Linked DNA regions of Oreochromis niloticus. The protein of the gene in region 2 interacts with the protein of the main gene of each other region in a biochemical or structural test. Links are inferred from orthologs where the notes say so. Each region holds a gene or a part of one and is shown on either strand. Other genes may lie near its edges.

Region 1 (7,876 bases), on a different chromosome or scaffold from region 2:
GCAGAACATGCAATCTTCACACAGCTGACCAGGAGATTTAACCCTTTACCAATGCGCTAAGCAAATGTATCAATAAGGTACATTATCATTGCTTTGAATTCAGAAAGGTGCTTGAGGATGAGACATGTAAAATCCCTCCAACTGGGAGTGCTGAAGGTTGCCTCCTGTTGGGCATTGGTGAAATATCTTTAAGAAGACACATCCAGGACATCAGATGCCAGAAGTGCACTCTGATACCAGAATTATCCCTGAGATCTCATTGTGTCACTATCTAGAGCTACTGAACATAGATGAGTCCTGGAATGTGTTGTAAGTCGGCTGTTAACATTTTCCCCATGACAGTCCTGGATGCCTGGACATGATCTCAAGCTCATACCGTGCCTAACTGTGCAATGAGACTCTCCTGCTACCAATGCTCTAATTTCTACACTAGGGATAACATAAATAATGGTGGCGTCAAAACAGTGTCTCCCAGTATACCACAGGTCTGGGCTTGGAAATGCTGACCCTTGTTTCAATCACAAACAACATTTGAGCAAAACTACTTCAACAGCAAAAATCTAAACTATAATCCACAAGTCAGCAAACTAGACACAAGACAGCCATAAACACAGCCGGGCACAGGGCAAGACTATAGTAGAGGCCCATGCCCTCTGGCACAACAATTCTTCTGTTTATACAAGCATCAAATAGCTCCAGGCAGCAGTCCAGCTTCCATAACACCTCTTTACATAAAAGACCTTGTTTTGGAAATGAAGAAAAATAATTCTACACAGCTCAATACATGGTAAACTTAATATATACTTGGTTTATAATAACTAGGTTTAGAATGTGATGACAAAGCCAAATGTTATCAAAAAGCTGATTAGAGCCGCAGCTTTAAAGTTACCTATTTCCTTCTACATGGTCCTGCTCTTTACTTCTGTGTAAAGCACAAGTCATGAGAGGATGATGCAATTTTTTTTTCTAGTGTTAGTTTCACTTACTTTTTCTAAGGTTATGAGGTAGAAATCAAGACCTTTAGGGAGTCACCGGGCTGACATGTGGCCCCAGCTTAGCGGCCCTTTTTAGCTCTGCTCGTCATGCTGCAGTCGCACATCTGCACCTATATATCAAAGCCATGCACAAAAACATTCCTGAGAGCAAAGCAGGGGTGATTTGTGTGCCTTTCTCCTTCTTTTTTGATTAAAATTCATCTGTGATCTGACTGTTCGCTCAGCTAAAAGCTATACCTTTTAAATCAGTCATCCGTCCAGAACTTTGACCTGCACCACATTAAGACCAGCACTGACATCACAACTGTTTCCCCTCTCCCCGCCGAGTCTCATGCCTCTTTCATATATTTTCTCTTGTCCTCGACAGATGGACAACCTTGCAGCCAGAGATTTTTTAAGTGTTTAATAAATGTAATACAACCTATATAGTGTTGAAGAAAGGGCCCTAAACCAGAACCATGTGCGGGAAGTGGATGGCGGCCGTTAGGGGCCACAGCTAATGTGGTTCAACATGTGGACCGGGCCATGCTAGAAGGTTCACTTACATGTTGGACAGTTTATGACCTTCAGCGCTGTTCCCTCAAAATGTAGACAGCGTCCTTACATTACTATTCTCTAGTTTATAGCGTGATATTTTGTTTTTAAATGCACCTCTCCACGAGAGGAGAGTAATAAAAGGATACAGGTGATGTTGGAATGCAGTGTCTTTCATGTTTTTATCTCACAGAGAAGAAGCACTGTGGTATTATGTTCATAAAGGGGGTAATATATGAAAATGTTTGACTTATTGTCAAATTAAGGGGAAGAGTGTCTTGACCCTGGTTGTTTATCTGCATGCCTCTGGTTGTTATTTCATTCAGCTCGGTCCTGACACTGCTAACCACAACAGACAGTGAAGTGCTCCTGAGAAGGAATGTGAGTAGTGATGCGACTGGATAAATCATAAACACTTGGAAGTTACCCAGCAGCTGTGCAGGGCAATTGCTCAAACTGAAGTATTATCAGATCTTGACCTGAGTTGTAAACAAAAATCAGCAGACTCCCAATGGTTTTTGCGGTTTTGTTTTTCTGTAACTTTGCCCCTGCTTAAAATCAAACAGTTACAAATCTAAGATGTGTTTCTTTGTGGGGTTTTTTTTTTTTTTGCTATTGTATTTTAACCCGTCACTGGGTCAGTCATTGAGAACTCATGCTCTGCAGTCACATTTTGCACAATCCCACTTCCATCAAATGTCTAATAGGAGTGTGTCACTTGGATAAAAGCTTCTGTCACAGCTAATGCAATTTTATATTCTCGCTGGGAGACTTACTGAGCTCTCGCTCCCTCAGTACAGCAGCCAACATACTGAAAGAGCCGTCACACCAAGGACACCATCTGTTTGACCCGCTCCCCCCTGGTAGAAACTTCGGGTCCATCATGTCACAGACGAACAGATTTAAGAACAGCTTCCACCCTCATGTGAGAACTGAACACTCCCAAACATTTAGTGACTGCACTTACATTCCTAAAAAACTGCACAGATGTGCCCATATCTCAACTGCTCGATGATCCAGCAGTGCAATATCTCAGCTGGCATTCATTGCATTGCATAATTATTTATATAATTATATTTATATCATTACTATCTGAAATTAGCTGATTTTTACATTGTGACTGGTGCATGTGGTGTGGATGCACTTACAGGTTTTGTGCTCCATTTCTGCTGATAGACTATAAAACAGGGTAGAGAAATAAAACAGACACTGTGTTCAGACAATAATCTTTGACTTTGTTAAATCAAGTGAACTGACTACTATATACTCAAGAGTCTTTAGATAAAATTTACATTTTGCAAATTACAACTGGCCTGCTAATTTCTAGAAATATCCACAATGGTCTACAACTAAATGGAGTGGGATTTCATTTGTATTATGGATATGTGTTTACACACGTCTAAACTAGTTACACAAACACATCAAAAAGTTTGATAAAGATGCATTATCCCCTCAAAAGGGTACTTATTAAGGTGTGTTCGGAAAATATACACAGGATGCTTTATAATATTACATTTATTATATTTTATATTTTGTAATTGTTTCTGAAAACTTAATATCCTAAATTACAGCAAAGGTTTTAAAGTCTCTAAAGCTATAAAATAAATCAAATTCAAATACGTTTTAAGATGAATACGTTAAAAAAATGGCACAAAGCAAGTGGAATACATATTGTTACTTTTTTAGCAGAGTGGATCATACCCGGCCTTACTGAAAAAAATCTTCCAGCTAAAGGAATAACTTGAAGAGGTTTGTAGAGAAAACAAACCTGAAGGTGCACATCAACCTCAATAAATGTAAATATTATATATGCTATATTTTAAAAAATATGTTTTATGTATAAATCCGTTTTAGGTGACACAAAAGCCTTTTTTCCAAGACTAAATGTGATATACAGGCTATGGCCAACATTTTGCCACTTCTAAATGCTTTAAAGCCACAGCTACAAAGAGACATTGTACTTTCATATTCACCTAATGGAACAGCTAATGTAAAACATGAGGGTGAGATCCACGAATGTATTAAATGCTATCTGACTCACATTTTTGTACAGCCTAATATTTCACTAAGCCTTAGCATTTCATTCAGAGATGTACTCTAGATAAGTGCAATAATCTCAGTTTGATGGATGGCCCAGCCGGAGCCTAGGGCCAGTGGTGTGTACATACTGCACTGGTTGCGGCAGAACGATAAAAACCCACACAGGCAGGTGTGTTTGGTTAAGATGCACTTGTCAAGTGGGGTGACAAGCATGTCTGTGTTCATTCAAGTGAACCCCTTATCGGTACCTCCATGTCCCACTCATGAGACAAAAGCACTTCCCATGTTTGTATGATTTACCTCTCAAGAAAATGCGCGAGCACACGCACGCTGTGCACACACATGCGCAACAATATCTCACAGAAAGTGTGTTTGCTAGAAATTTATACATATTTATATATCCTGTCATTGCTGCTTACCTGTACAGTACACCCACAACCCAGCACCAGTACCGAGTATGGAGAACATTCTTCGGTTATGCTGAATTTGTTTTTGTTTTTCAACTTTTTCTTCGTCTTTGGATATTTAAGCAGCTTTCATTGATTTTTTAAAAAAAAATATTCTTTCACCTAATTCCCTTAGAACGCGCGAGCGAGCGCTACCACCTTATTTTGACACCTCAACTTTCACCGGGGTGAGCCGGAAGTGATGTCAGACTAGGAAGTAAATCTCGCCACTGGCCGTCAGCAGTGAGCAGTAATGGACTGCAACAACAGCAAGTTCAGCGAAGATTAGCCGAAAGTGTCGCATGAGTGTGTTTGAGGGAAGAGTTTGTGCCGAGCTGAAGCGCTGAATGTCCGTGTGGTGTTGGTGAAAATGACACCGAGGTAAGAAGCTGTGTGCTTGTGTGTGATGCTCTCTGTGTGCTCACCAGCTAGCCGCATAATGCTAACGTTGTCCTCCAGTCTTAACTGAATTTACCCCTAACAAAGCTTCACGAAAAAGTGACAATTTAATATTGCCTCGCATCATTTAATTGTTGTAATCAGTTTAGTAATATTTACTTTTGACAAACCTGTGGAGAGACGCTCACTTAAAGGGACATTGCATCTTAATGTAACTTACATGGCTACTTACACCACTTCTTTCATGTATACCTGCATCAATGCGTCATCTAGAGTTATCTAGAGCCACAGCCCATGACTGCTTTACTTGAATATGTGCACAGCTTCTTAATCTCAGTCAAAACCTCTATTTTCAGTCTAAACTAATTTGAAAATGATACATGAAACGGTCGCTCTATATCCCACTGAGTGACTCACTAATTCAGTGACAATGACACCAAAATGTGTCACTGGATGAGATCATCAATATCTGCCTTGAACCTCCATCTTAGGGACATATATTTAAAGATATTGTGCAAATCATACAGTGCAAAATGTGATTTCTGCTTAGCCGTATTACTTCCAAAGTGGCTGCCATCAAATTATTAGCAGGCTGCCTGCTTTAATATCAGTTTTCTCTGTGTCTTCATAAGCCAGGCTTTCATTCTTGGCAAAAATAATGATGTTTTCCTGGTTCTTTCTGTTCTGTTTTCTTGCAGATGACTCAGCAGTGGCTTGGACATCTGTGATCTGACAGAAGATGAGACTTGCTCAGTTTGTCAAACTTATGGTCCACTGTAGAAAGTGCTGCTAAACGCTGATATCAGACTATAGTGAATCATGATTGCTGCTTCTTGCATGTCACACTCACTGAAAAAAACTGCTGCATAAATTATATTTGACTTTATTTTGAATGGATTTCAGTTAACAGTTGGTGCTTACAATGTCACTGGGCGAGCAGTCTCAAAAGTGGTTTCCAACCCATGTCCAAGCCACTGTTCTTCAAGCAACTGGTTTACAGGCCAAAGGCAAAAATGGCACCAATGATGCCTACACTATCATCCAGCTGGGCAAGGAGAAGTACTCAACATCAGTGGCGGAGAAGACCCTTAACCCTGTGTGGAGGGAAGAAGCCTCCTTTGAATTACCTGGCCTACTTTTGGAGGGCAACCCAGAAGTGTATGAACTCTGCCTCATAGTGATGCATCGCTCTCTGGTTGGGATGGACAAGTTTCTGGGTCAGAAGTGCATAAATCTTAATGAAATCTTCGATAACAAGGAGAGAAAGAAAACAGAGTAAGTAATAAAAGTGTATTAAATATCACAAAACATCACAAAGGTTCTTAGGGAAGTTTTTTGGGGACATAATCACTACTGCAGTGGGCTCTAGAAGTGATCCATTTATCCTCATTTTTGAAGAAGATTATGTTATAACCATGTGTTTTTGCTCTCTGATATATATATATATATATATATATATATATATATATAGACACACACACACACACACACTTCTTGGAAAATATAATTCCCTCAGATTTTTTGGGACAGAAATACTATTATTAGCAGTTTTTGCAGTCATTGCAAGGTCAATAGTTTCCCTTCAAGAGAAGACCTGGGCTGGTTTTAACACTAACACAAATCATGGGACATACAGCACTTTTTTTTAGATAGTATAGTTCTTAGACATTAGCATCACATGTACATTATTCAGGGTCTTTAGTCTGTAGTGTCTTGTTGGTATAGAGACAGACCTTTGAGAGGAAGTGGAAAATATTTCCACAGCCTTTCCAGTCATAAGTGGATTACACCATGAGCTAAGTCAGTTGTTATTTGTCACATTTGCCACAAGTATTACTGCCATATTAGACTTCACAAATGTGCTGTCTTTTGCATGTTATATTAGGCACTGTGGTCTCAATTAAGGTCATGACCCAACCCTGTTGCGCCACATGATTTAAGTACCATAGTGTTGGCCTTATTTTCTTTGTGCACTTGCTTTAGAAATACACTTTATTAGATACACAAGTTTTAATGTTAAGAGCAGAGTAAATGAAATGCTCTAACAGAAGCACTTCACTTTAAAACTATTTAGCACACCAGTGACACACTTTCATGCTCAGTTAGCAAGGACATGTTGGTTGTACTTTTTTTTTTTTTTTTTTTTTTTTTTTTTTTTTTCCATCTTCATGACACTGTATTGTTTGAGGCTTAGCAATGGATTGGCCTACGCTGCAGAGAGATTATTTTAGAGTAATTACTGACACCAGTTGACCTAACTGAAACTAGTGGAGCTGGACAAACATGTCTTGTTAGCCACTCCTATACTCCATTTTTTGTTTTTGTTTTTTCAAAGGTGTGAATGTAATATGGGCTCTCCTTCAGAGCCAAAGACGCCTGGGATTAAATCTTGGCTTGTTTCTGTACAGTTTAGTTTCCCTCGTGTTAAAATCTGGCCTCTATGCATTGTGCCTTTCTTGGTGCAAAATACATTCAAGTTTGGAAACAGATATTTATCTATGCCACTATATTGGTGGACAATAGTGGGCGTCTCTCTGAGTCATAATTGGGTGACTTGTTAAGGCTGCTTAGTTGCCTTCAAGTAAAGCCATGCCAGAATAAGGTTTGTCCTCTTTAAAGTTACTGAAAAAAGATTTGAGGAGAGAGATCGATGTATAGATGTACATTCAAATAAACTAACACAGTGTAAACCATCAGAGCTTGGAAAGACTCTGCTGTATTTGGCTAAACTTTGGTTGATGAGCCTTAAAAGTCCAACACACACACACACACATTTCTTAACCCTACATTAAGCAAACAGGAACTGCGAAACCAAATTGGATCTGGTGTTAATTAGCTCACTGCACGTTTCGGGGGGGGAAGGACATTAGCTGACTTCCTCTTTGCCCATCAGTTGGGAGAATCACAATATGTTATAATCAGTGTGAACGGGTTTTATTTATTTAGGTGCCTCAACTGATGCACCTTGAGGCTGTGCACTTTTTCAGCAGTGGTTCTGTAACGGATATCGCTGTGTTGCTTGCAGGCCTAATACCCACGCCGCAGCCATACTTGACAATGATGCCAGGGCTCTCGATAATATATCCGAACTCCACAGTGGGTCTCTGTTCACCACGGCCCATCCGCAGTGTTTTTGAACTGGCATATTGGGGAGGAAAGCCCGTACTGATATCTGAGAAGGCAGGCCATAATTATCGCACACCTGTGTTTGTTGATTGTGAGGAGTTTCCCAGCGGCTTGGACCGGAGTGGGAGGATTGTGGTTCCAAGCACAGGGCGGTTTATCTTGGCCTTGAGACACACGTGAGGTGCAGGCTCGGCCCCACGGCAGTGGCATGCTGTGGCTACTGATCAGGCTGAGCACGGCGCGCAGCCTGGGAATTGGCCCCAAAAAGGCCTTTCATGATTGAGGCTTCTGGGATGCAAGCTAGACTGCTTAAAATAGCGTTCAACAGCTGTGATT
Region 2 (7,867 bases):
TGTGTTAATGAAGTTATTCAATCATCGTGTTAAGGAAATATCACACTAACACACTCTGACACACTCTGAGGTTTTCATAGGTAAACTTGTGCAAGCACAAATAAACTCTGCATCATTTCATCATTACATCATAGCTGGAGGTGGGATGGACAGAATAACATGAACACCTCAGCATGACCACAGTGTTTTGTTTTTGTTTTTTTAAGAATGCTGAGAAATAGCAAAACAATCACCTGAAGGTCAAAATGACTTAAAAAAAAACGGTCTCTGCAGACCTGAAATCACCTGAATAACATATTCACTTAATATTTTCATTTATTTCAGTTCATCTTTATTTCACCTGATCGTGTTTGTAAACCAAACATAAACTGTATATCAAAGATGGACACAGCATCTAGGTCAGTAAAGTGAAGTCTTGCACTCCTCCTACTATGCAGGAAAAAGAAGTCAAAAAGGGAGTCTGACTGAATAGAAGTCTTTGACAAAATGAGTCTACTGCTCACCTGATCTCTGACCTCTGTGAATTTTTCTTGAAACTCCACCCTTTCCTCCAAATATGGTCGCTTCTGGTCCCACAGAAAGTAACATGGCAGCTGCCAAATTCCTAAGAAGTAAGCTTTAAACACTTGTTGCTGTCCCTCAGCACACCTCTGAAAACTGGTGAAAGAAATCAGCTCATCCAAATCTCTGAATCATGCACAGCTACCCTTGTAGAGTCAAAGAATAAAAAAAATGCTTACATGTTTATGCTGTCCATTTTCTTGTGTAACTAACTGTGTCTCTATTGCAAAGACTGACCACAGGACTGAACGGTGATTTGTGCAGCACCAATAAAGATTATTTTGAACTGTTAATCGTGCACAGCTCCTCTGTTCCCAAGCATGAAACAAAGAGCTGGAAAACAGTGATATGAATGCTTGTGCCACATTATATTTCACTGATGTCAGAGGAGCACAGGTTCAGGAACATTAATGAAAATCACAGGTCTGTCAGCCTCTGGTGAGATTTCTTCTTCCGTGTGCAGCCTGTTGAAGTTCTCTGTTGTTCTTTTTCACGCCTGTGTTTCACAGCCTTCACGGCTGTGGCAGCGTGATAAAGCCTGTTGTGGGTGGACCGGCGTCTTGTCAGATTCATGTGCAGGTAAACACCTCATACCAGCAGAAGGAGTGGTTTGGGAGTGGACTCATTAGCTGAGTAAGAATAATAGCTGTGCTCAGACAGGTCTGAGATGAGCTGCTGCTTCCCACAATCACTGTCACAGGATCTGATGCAGCTTCCTTCAGCACATGAGGATCTATTTATCAGCCGGAGAGGATGAGTGGAGATTATTACCCCTACTCCAAGGTAAAGGACCCGTTATCGCCTCTGTACTTGCTGTAAGAGCTCATATCTGTGGTTAATGTTCACACAAAATATTCTCTATAACGTTCAGCCTGTCGGCATTACACAACATCTCTGATAACAGACACACTTTACTGATGTGTTATCAGAAGGAAAAGTCTGACTTACATGAGAACATTTTATGTAAAACCAGCTTTATACTTTCAAATTTTATGTCTGTGAGGAGCTATTACAGGAAATAAAAAATGTGATGGGTGGTGGAGCATGAAGGTCAAATATCTACTTTTTCTGGCTCGATAGAATTTTTAGTTTGACTGTGTTTGTGAGAGATTTATCAACATGTCTGAAGAGAAAAGGATAAATTAGTTAGTTGGAAGGATTCTTAGAGGCCTGGATGAGACACAAAGAAAGCAGCCAAAAATCCTACATTTCCCATAGTGCAGCTGGATGGAGTCTTACTGCACTGAAGCAAAACATTAACAGTGAAAGAGACCCAAAATCTTGAAGCAGAGCGTAGTGCTCTTTTAGTGATGAAGTATTAATATCATCTAAGCAAAAGCACTGTATTTTTAATAATACGACTGGAGCTTGTTTACTTTCTATGCTGCTGTGTAGCTTCATCTGTAATAACAAGGCATAATTTCTCTCCAGATTCGTATTTTTAGATTTATGTCTACAAAGTCTCATGCACAGACTAGTTTTAGGCACCCTTTGGTTTTGAATCCTGCTGTGTTAGTTTTTTGTTTCTGGAGTGACCACATTTAGACGAGGTGGCGGAGTGCAAACTGACCACCCAATGCTAGCTAGCATGTTAGCACCAAGTTACATTCCTAGAATTTTACTAAAACTGGAGCTCAGACTTCTCTGCCGATCTGTGACAATAGTTAAACTCACAGCAACCATGATATTGGTCAGATAATTGCCTCCAGCAGCACGAACGCGGCAGCTACAGCCACCTCTCACCACCATAATAATGCAAACTGTAATAATTAGATCAAACCCAACAATCTTCACAAAGTCAACAAGGGAGAAATAGGTTATAGTAACAAAACAGTTTCCTGTATCAGCCTGCAAACATGTTATTTCTGCAGTAAAGCCGAACATTTTAACATGGGAGACTATGGGGACTGACTCAGCGTTGGAGTCTCAAGTGGTCATTAGAGGAACTGCAGCTGTGCAGGCTGACACTTCATCTTGCCACAGACTAGGAAATGCCTCCTGGCAGTTATTTAAAAGACTGAGTCAACAGTAATAAATTCTACGTCAGTGGTCACCAAGTCTGAGGACTTTATCCCAAAATAACATTTAATAGTGTTTTGCTTTTGTTTTTTTTTGTTTTTTAACGGCTGTCCTTGCAGGCTAACTGACATGCACAGGTTACATCGGATTAAGGTGTAACATGTGACATGTTTGCTGGTTTCAGCCTACAGTGTAACTCCTACTGTAAAATAAATGGATTTATAAAGTACATGATTTGCATTTAAAAATAGAAAGAAACATAAAAATTCTTAAGTACAAACCAGGTGTTAACACAGGATTTCTTTACATCCCACCTCATTATTGCAGCTTTGATTGGTCTGGCCTCTTTCTGGTTCCACTGCATTCAGTTTTTGTGGTCAATTTAAACACAAAGAGTTGAAGTGGAACAAAGCTTAAGGTGTGGAAAGAATGACACGACACGTTTGGATGAATGCTGTGAGGTGAGGAGGCGTGGACGAGCGTTAAATGATTAATTCTCACAGTGTGCAGCCTGTTTGCTTTCATGTCTGTTTGTCTTCTCTTTGTGACTGATTGTTTGACATTCTAGTTGTCACTCCGAGCCTTCAAGAAAACATAATCAACAAACAAAAGAAAGATTAAAAATAGAAAAATGTAAGTTCCTCTGAGGGTAGTTCTCTAATCAACCAAATGATGGTGCTATTGTGACAGCACCACAATTCCAATATTTTGCAATGCTTACTTAGACAGCTAATTTTGGTTATTTTTACTTATATTTTTAACGTTTTTTAAATATATTTGACTAATTGTGGTTTATATAGTTTTATTTATTATTGCTTAATAAATAAACCCTTGCACTTAGTGGTAAAAGTGGTACAAGGTCAGCAGTTTGTATTTATAATATTGACCTTTATAAACAGATTTGGTTGTAACTAGATAAAACATTAAAGAGTTACAGCAGTTTGACCGTTAAAGTGGCCACACCCACAAAGGTGTGTCAGCCAATCACAGAAAAGAAGTTTTAGGTTTTTAGAGGTCATTGATTATAATATATACAAAGTTTGGTGAAGAGTGGAAGAATATTGGAGAGCAGGCAGACAAAAGTATGTTTTTGTTTTATGTATGTATGTTACCAATGAGCTTCTCATATGTTGGAGGATTCCCACTGTGGGGTCTTCCTGCTCCATATATGGCGCTCTGAATTACTGTGAGAAAGACTGAAAGTCATATATGTTGTTTTATTACAGTTCATACACATGATTGACGCTGGATTTGCAATAAGTGAAATAAAATTCGGACTTTCAGAGTTTAGAGAAGCAGCTAGGAGTGATTATTTTAGCGGTTTAGCTCTGTTCACTTAGACCCACACAAATAATTCTATATACTGGAATAAACAGGCAGTGGAATTGCTGCCGTTTTCCACTGGATCCACAAACACAATCAGTCTTGTATTAATTAGTTCAGAATATTTTGCAAGGCTTCCTAATTTCTGAACAGTGGTGAGCTATCTGTACCAGATCTGACTGTGTGAGGCAGTGAATTTTGGAGAGGCTGACATAGTGTTGATGCTTTTACAGGGTTGGTATTCACAGAAATTCAAATAAAATGTTAACTTGGGAATTTTTTTAAAAAAAGGACCCCTCAGGTTTCTCTCAGGACCCTCTGTGGGGCGCCACGCCTCACGTTGAAGCACCCCGCGTCGTGTGTGTGTGTGGTTGAAACCTGGCTTGGAGCCAGGGATCAGCCAATCAGCGGGCAGTGTGGGGAAAACACGGCTGTCAGGAAGAACCGGCCTCCTCCCTCCACCTGCGGGTCGCTTCAGGCTTTTCGTTTCCGTTTTTCTGGATTTCGGGATCCTTCTTCCGGTTCTAACACTTTTCATCGGCTCTGAGTTTACCCTAAAGTATCCGAGGGTTCGTTTTTACCGGAGGAAACACCAGCGGGAGCGTGCTCCTTCGGACCGACACTACACCGAACAAAGTGACCGAAACTCGGCCAGACACCTGCTGCGGGGCATGCGCACTGGAAGGTCTCTGCTGGTTTAGGACCGAACCGGAGCGCAGAGGGACTCTAATGGATCATTAATGGGCACAAGAGGAGCTTGTTAGTGTAGTTTGATCCACCGGGAAGGCACAATGTCCGTGAACGAGCTGTACACGAAGGTGAGTTTACTTTTCACCTGGAAAACAGACGCGCACCTGCTGGAGCAGCTCCAGCCCGAACCCCGTCACTTGCGTCGCCTTTAGCCGCTCAGGTCTCACCTGCACTAAACTCTGAGCATGGTTTATGTTACCTGACGGTGTTTATTCAGATTTTAAAGAGATGAGTCACCTGTTGGGACTTGTGTTGGAACATTAGTACATGGCGCTGCGAGTGGAGAGTGAAGTAACGTTGGAGCTATAAATGTTGACGCTACAGAGGTGGGGTAGGGGGATATTTGGGCTGAATGTAAGAGAGGAACAGGTAAAGCCTGGATAACGCCAAGTAAAGAGACTTTACCGAAGAAATTCCACAGAATGCATACTTTACTGTAAAATGGCTAATTTTTGAATGGAGTCTTGCGTGCGGCTGAGCGGACAGGTGCAGGAGGCGCAGATTGAGTTAAAAGGGACCCGTGTTGGATTTCAGAGTGGTTCACAGGACTCAGGCTGTCTGTGAGGCCGTGCTTGACGGTTTCTGTGATCAGGGAATTATCACTGGTTGAATAAACCTTCAGAGCGAGACCGGAAGCTGGATTTCTGCTGGAAGTTTGAACCTGTTATCAGCCTGGAAAAGCAGCATTATTACACTCACTGATGATTCATCACTCAGATCACTGACAGCCCATCATCTGCTCACCTGCACATCCGTGATTAATGATTAAAGCTCATTTTCTATAATAAGCAACAAAAGAAAATCAGAGATGAAGTCATTGTCTTATCTAATGTCTTCATCCTTCAGCCACACGCACATGCACACAGTCAGATCATTAAATTTGTTGTGTTTGTCTTCCAGCTTAATATTCTTCAGCATCATAAACCGACAGGCAGAAATGGGAGAGAGAATAAAAACATAAAACAGCTGATGAGTAACAGGAAGAAAATGCTCAGACAAAAACAAAACAAAATAAAAAAAGAATAAAAGCAGAGAGACTCTAATGCATTGTGGGGATTGTAGGATTCAGCAGTGTTGTGGGTTCAGTCAGGCTGGGCTCTGTCCATCCTCTGATGGTTGGATTTCTTTGATTCGAGGATTCGACTTTGTTGTGTTCTACTCTTTAATCTGAGCTTCGTTCCCGGTCTAATCTGTGACTCTTTATTAACTCAGCAGGAACCTGTTTGAATGTTTGTGAACTTGTTAACCTCGCCTCAGCTTGAGTGAAACCTCTGCTCAATCAGGCTGTCTGAAATCTGAGATGCAAAGACTAAATGAGCTTCCTCCTGCAGCAGAACTCACTGTAGTCCCACTGTAGTCCTTCAGTCTGTACAGTCTCATGAACCACTGTAATCAGGCAGAAAAGTGTCTTCTTACGTCAGCATTTACAGCAGGGGGAAAAGTTGTGAGTTTAATTTTGTGCTTTTTTTCTGAGATCTTCTTGTGAGAGATGAGAATTAAAACTTGTCAGGTTGTTTTGTTTTGTGATCTTGGGCTCTGCTTCATTCTCTGAAAACTTTGAGTGCTGCTGTTTGAGTGCTGGAGTTCAGTGAGTCTTCTTCCTCATGCTGTTATGAGAAGAAAGTGACTCAGAAGCCGACTTTAATCTGTTGATGCTTCATTTTATTACATGCTGCTGATAATGATGGCCTTGACTCTGACACCAGATGTATTTTTAACTGCCGTCATTTTGTCGTAGAGCTCTTCTGCACCAAACTCACTTTGACTTTTGGACCTTTCAGTTTGAACTGAAGCAAAATTTAATGTGTGGACTGTGCAGAAGTGACAGCAGGATCTCTGACAGGTTAGGTTAGGTTAGACTCTGTAGACTAAAGTTAGCCTACAGCTTCAGATTGTGTTGATGGGATGTTTCCACAGCTTATGTTTATAAAGCTGTAGCTTCTTACTAAAATCACATTTTAAAGTTTCCGTGTTGTTTTATGTTGTTTTGCTTCACTGAACCGCATTTCTTTCATCCTTTTTAATTTAAGTGACATCATAAACTCTGGCTGAGACAGTTGTTGTCACAGGTTTTGGTCTCAGGATGAAAACCTCGTAGTAAAGGTGTCATAATTGGAAAAAAGGGGGAAATGAGCTGCAGCAGCACCTGTAGACAGGACGCTGGATCAGCTACGTTTTAAAAAGCTAACTGTAAATAATGACGGCAGGCTGTAGGTATGTTCAGAGGACAGAAGAGAGGTGCACACCTGTCATCGCACCTGTCCATATGTTTAACCTGTGAGCGCAGAGTCTGTGTTCCTGCAGCAGTAACAGTGAAACCTGTGAAGCTGGACCGTACGTGCTGCTGATACAGCTGCTGCTCCTCTACACTGAAAGGAGGCAGTTGAAGTGGCTCAATCATCTGACCAGGACGCCTCCTGTTCACCGTGTTATGTTTTATCTATCAGGGAGGACACCCCAGGACAGACCAGGACAGATTATGTCTCCCTGCTGTCTTAGAAAGGGTGGAGGAGGTGGGTGGGCTTCTCTGCTTGGATCCCTGCCCCCGAGATTAGGGGCAGCGGCTTCTTCCAGTCTTAAAAATACCGATCACATCGTAAAAATTCATTGCAATGAAAAAAATATAAACAGAAACAATCAAACCATCTCTGGAATGGAACAAAAACTGAAAAGTAAGAACTAAATAAAAACACGTGTGCAGGCGTAACCCTGAAGTTCATTCAGCTTTCAGTCGGTCATGTTTAATATTGTTTTACAAACAGTGAAGTTCATTCATGTGAACATTTCCACCAGCTGACAGCAGCACTTGTCTACATCCTCTCCACATTCTGCTGTAACCTCTCTTTTTAACCCATGTCTGAGAAACTGAGCCACTGTGTTTAGATGTGATCACCCAAAGCCAGCGAGGACGGGCGCCATGCAACCCCAACCCCCGCCACCCTGCAGAGGATGAGCGGTTGGACTGAATGATGGAGACTCGCGCAGAAGAAGTCGTCTTCTGCTGTGCAGGCCGGGATTAGCTGAGATTAATTACAGCTCGTTAGTCGCAGCTCTGCTCTGAGGACAGCGTGAGCATATGTTTCAGATTAGAATCAGTCAGACGCAGATTTCCGACCGAACCTCGGCACGTGTGTGTGTGTGTGTGTGTGTGTGTGTGTGTGTCTATGAGTCAGCTCTGAGCTGTAATCCTCCTCCTGGGCTCGGTGGTCCGCTT

Evidence for each region.
Region 1: the proteins of myo5b (region 2) and rab11fip2 form a complex in vitro, tested with the Homo sapiens proteins (2 studies listed by BioGRID). The link is inferred for Oreochromis niloticus from reciprocal best matches to the Homo sapiens genes MYO5B and RAB11FIP2.

The regions. Positions count from the first base shown.
Region 1 is NC_031978.2:25,622,056-25,629,931, forward strand, and holds the start of rab11fip2 (rab11 family-interacting protein 2), read left to right. Parts: upstream 1-4,203; 5' UTR 4,204-4,396; intron 4,397-5,112; 5' UTR 5,113-5,336; coding exon 5,337-5,689; intron 5,690-7,876. UniProt on the Homo sapiens protein: A Rab11 effector binding preferentially phosphatidylinositol 3,4,5-trisphosphate (PtdInsP3) and phosphatidic acid (PA) and acting in the regulation of the transport of vesicles from the endosomal recycling compartment (ERC) to the plasma membrane.
Region 2 is NC_031972.2:36,569,216-36,577,082, reverse strand, and holds the start of myo5b (unconventional myosin-Vb), read left to right. Parts: upstream 1-4,302; 5' UTR 4,303-4,694; coding exon 4,695-4,721; intron 4,722-7,867. UniProt on the Homo sapiens protein: May be involved in vesicular trafficking via its association with the CART complex. The CART complex is necessary for efficient transferrin receptor recycling but not for EGFR degradation.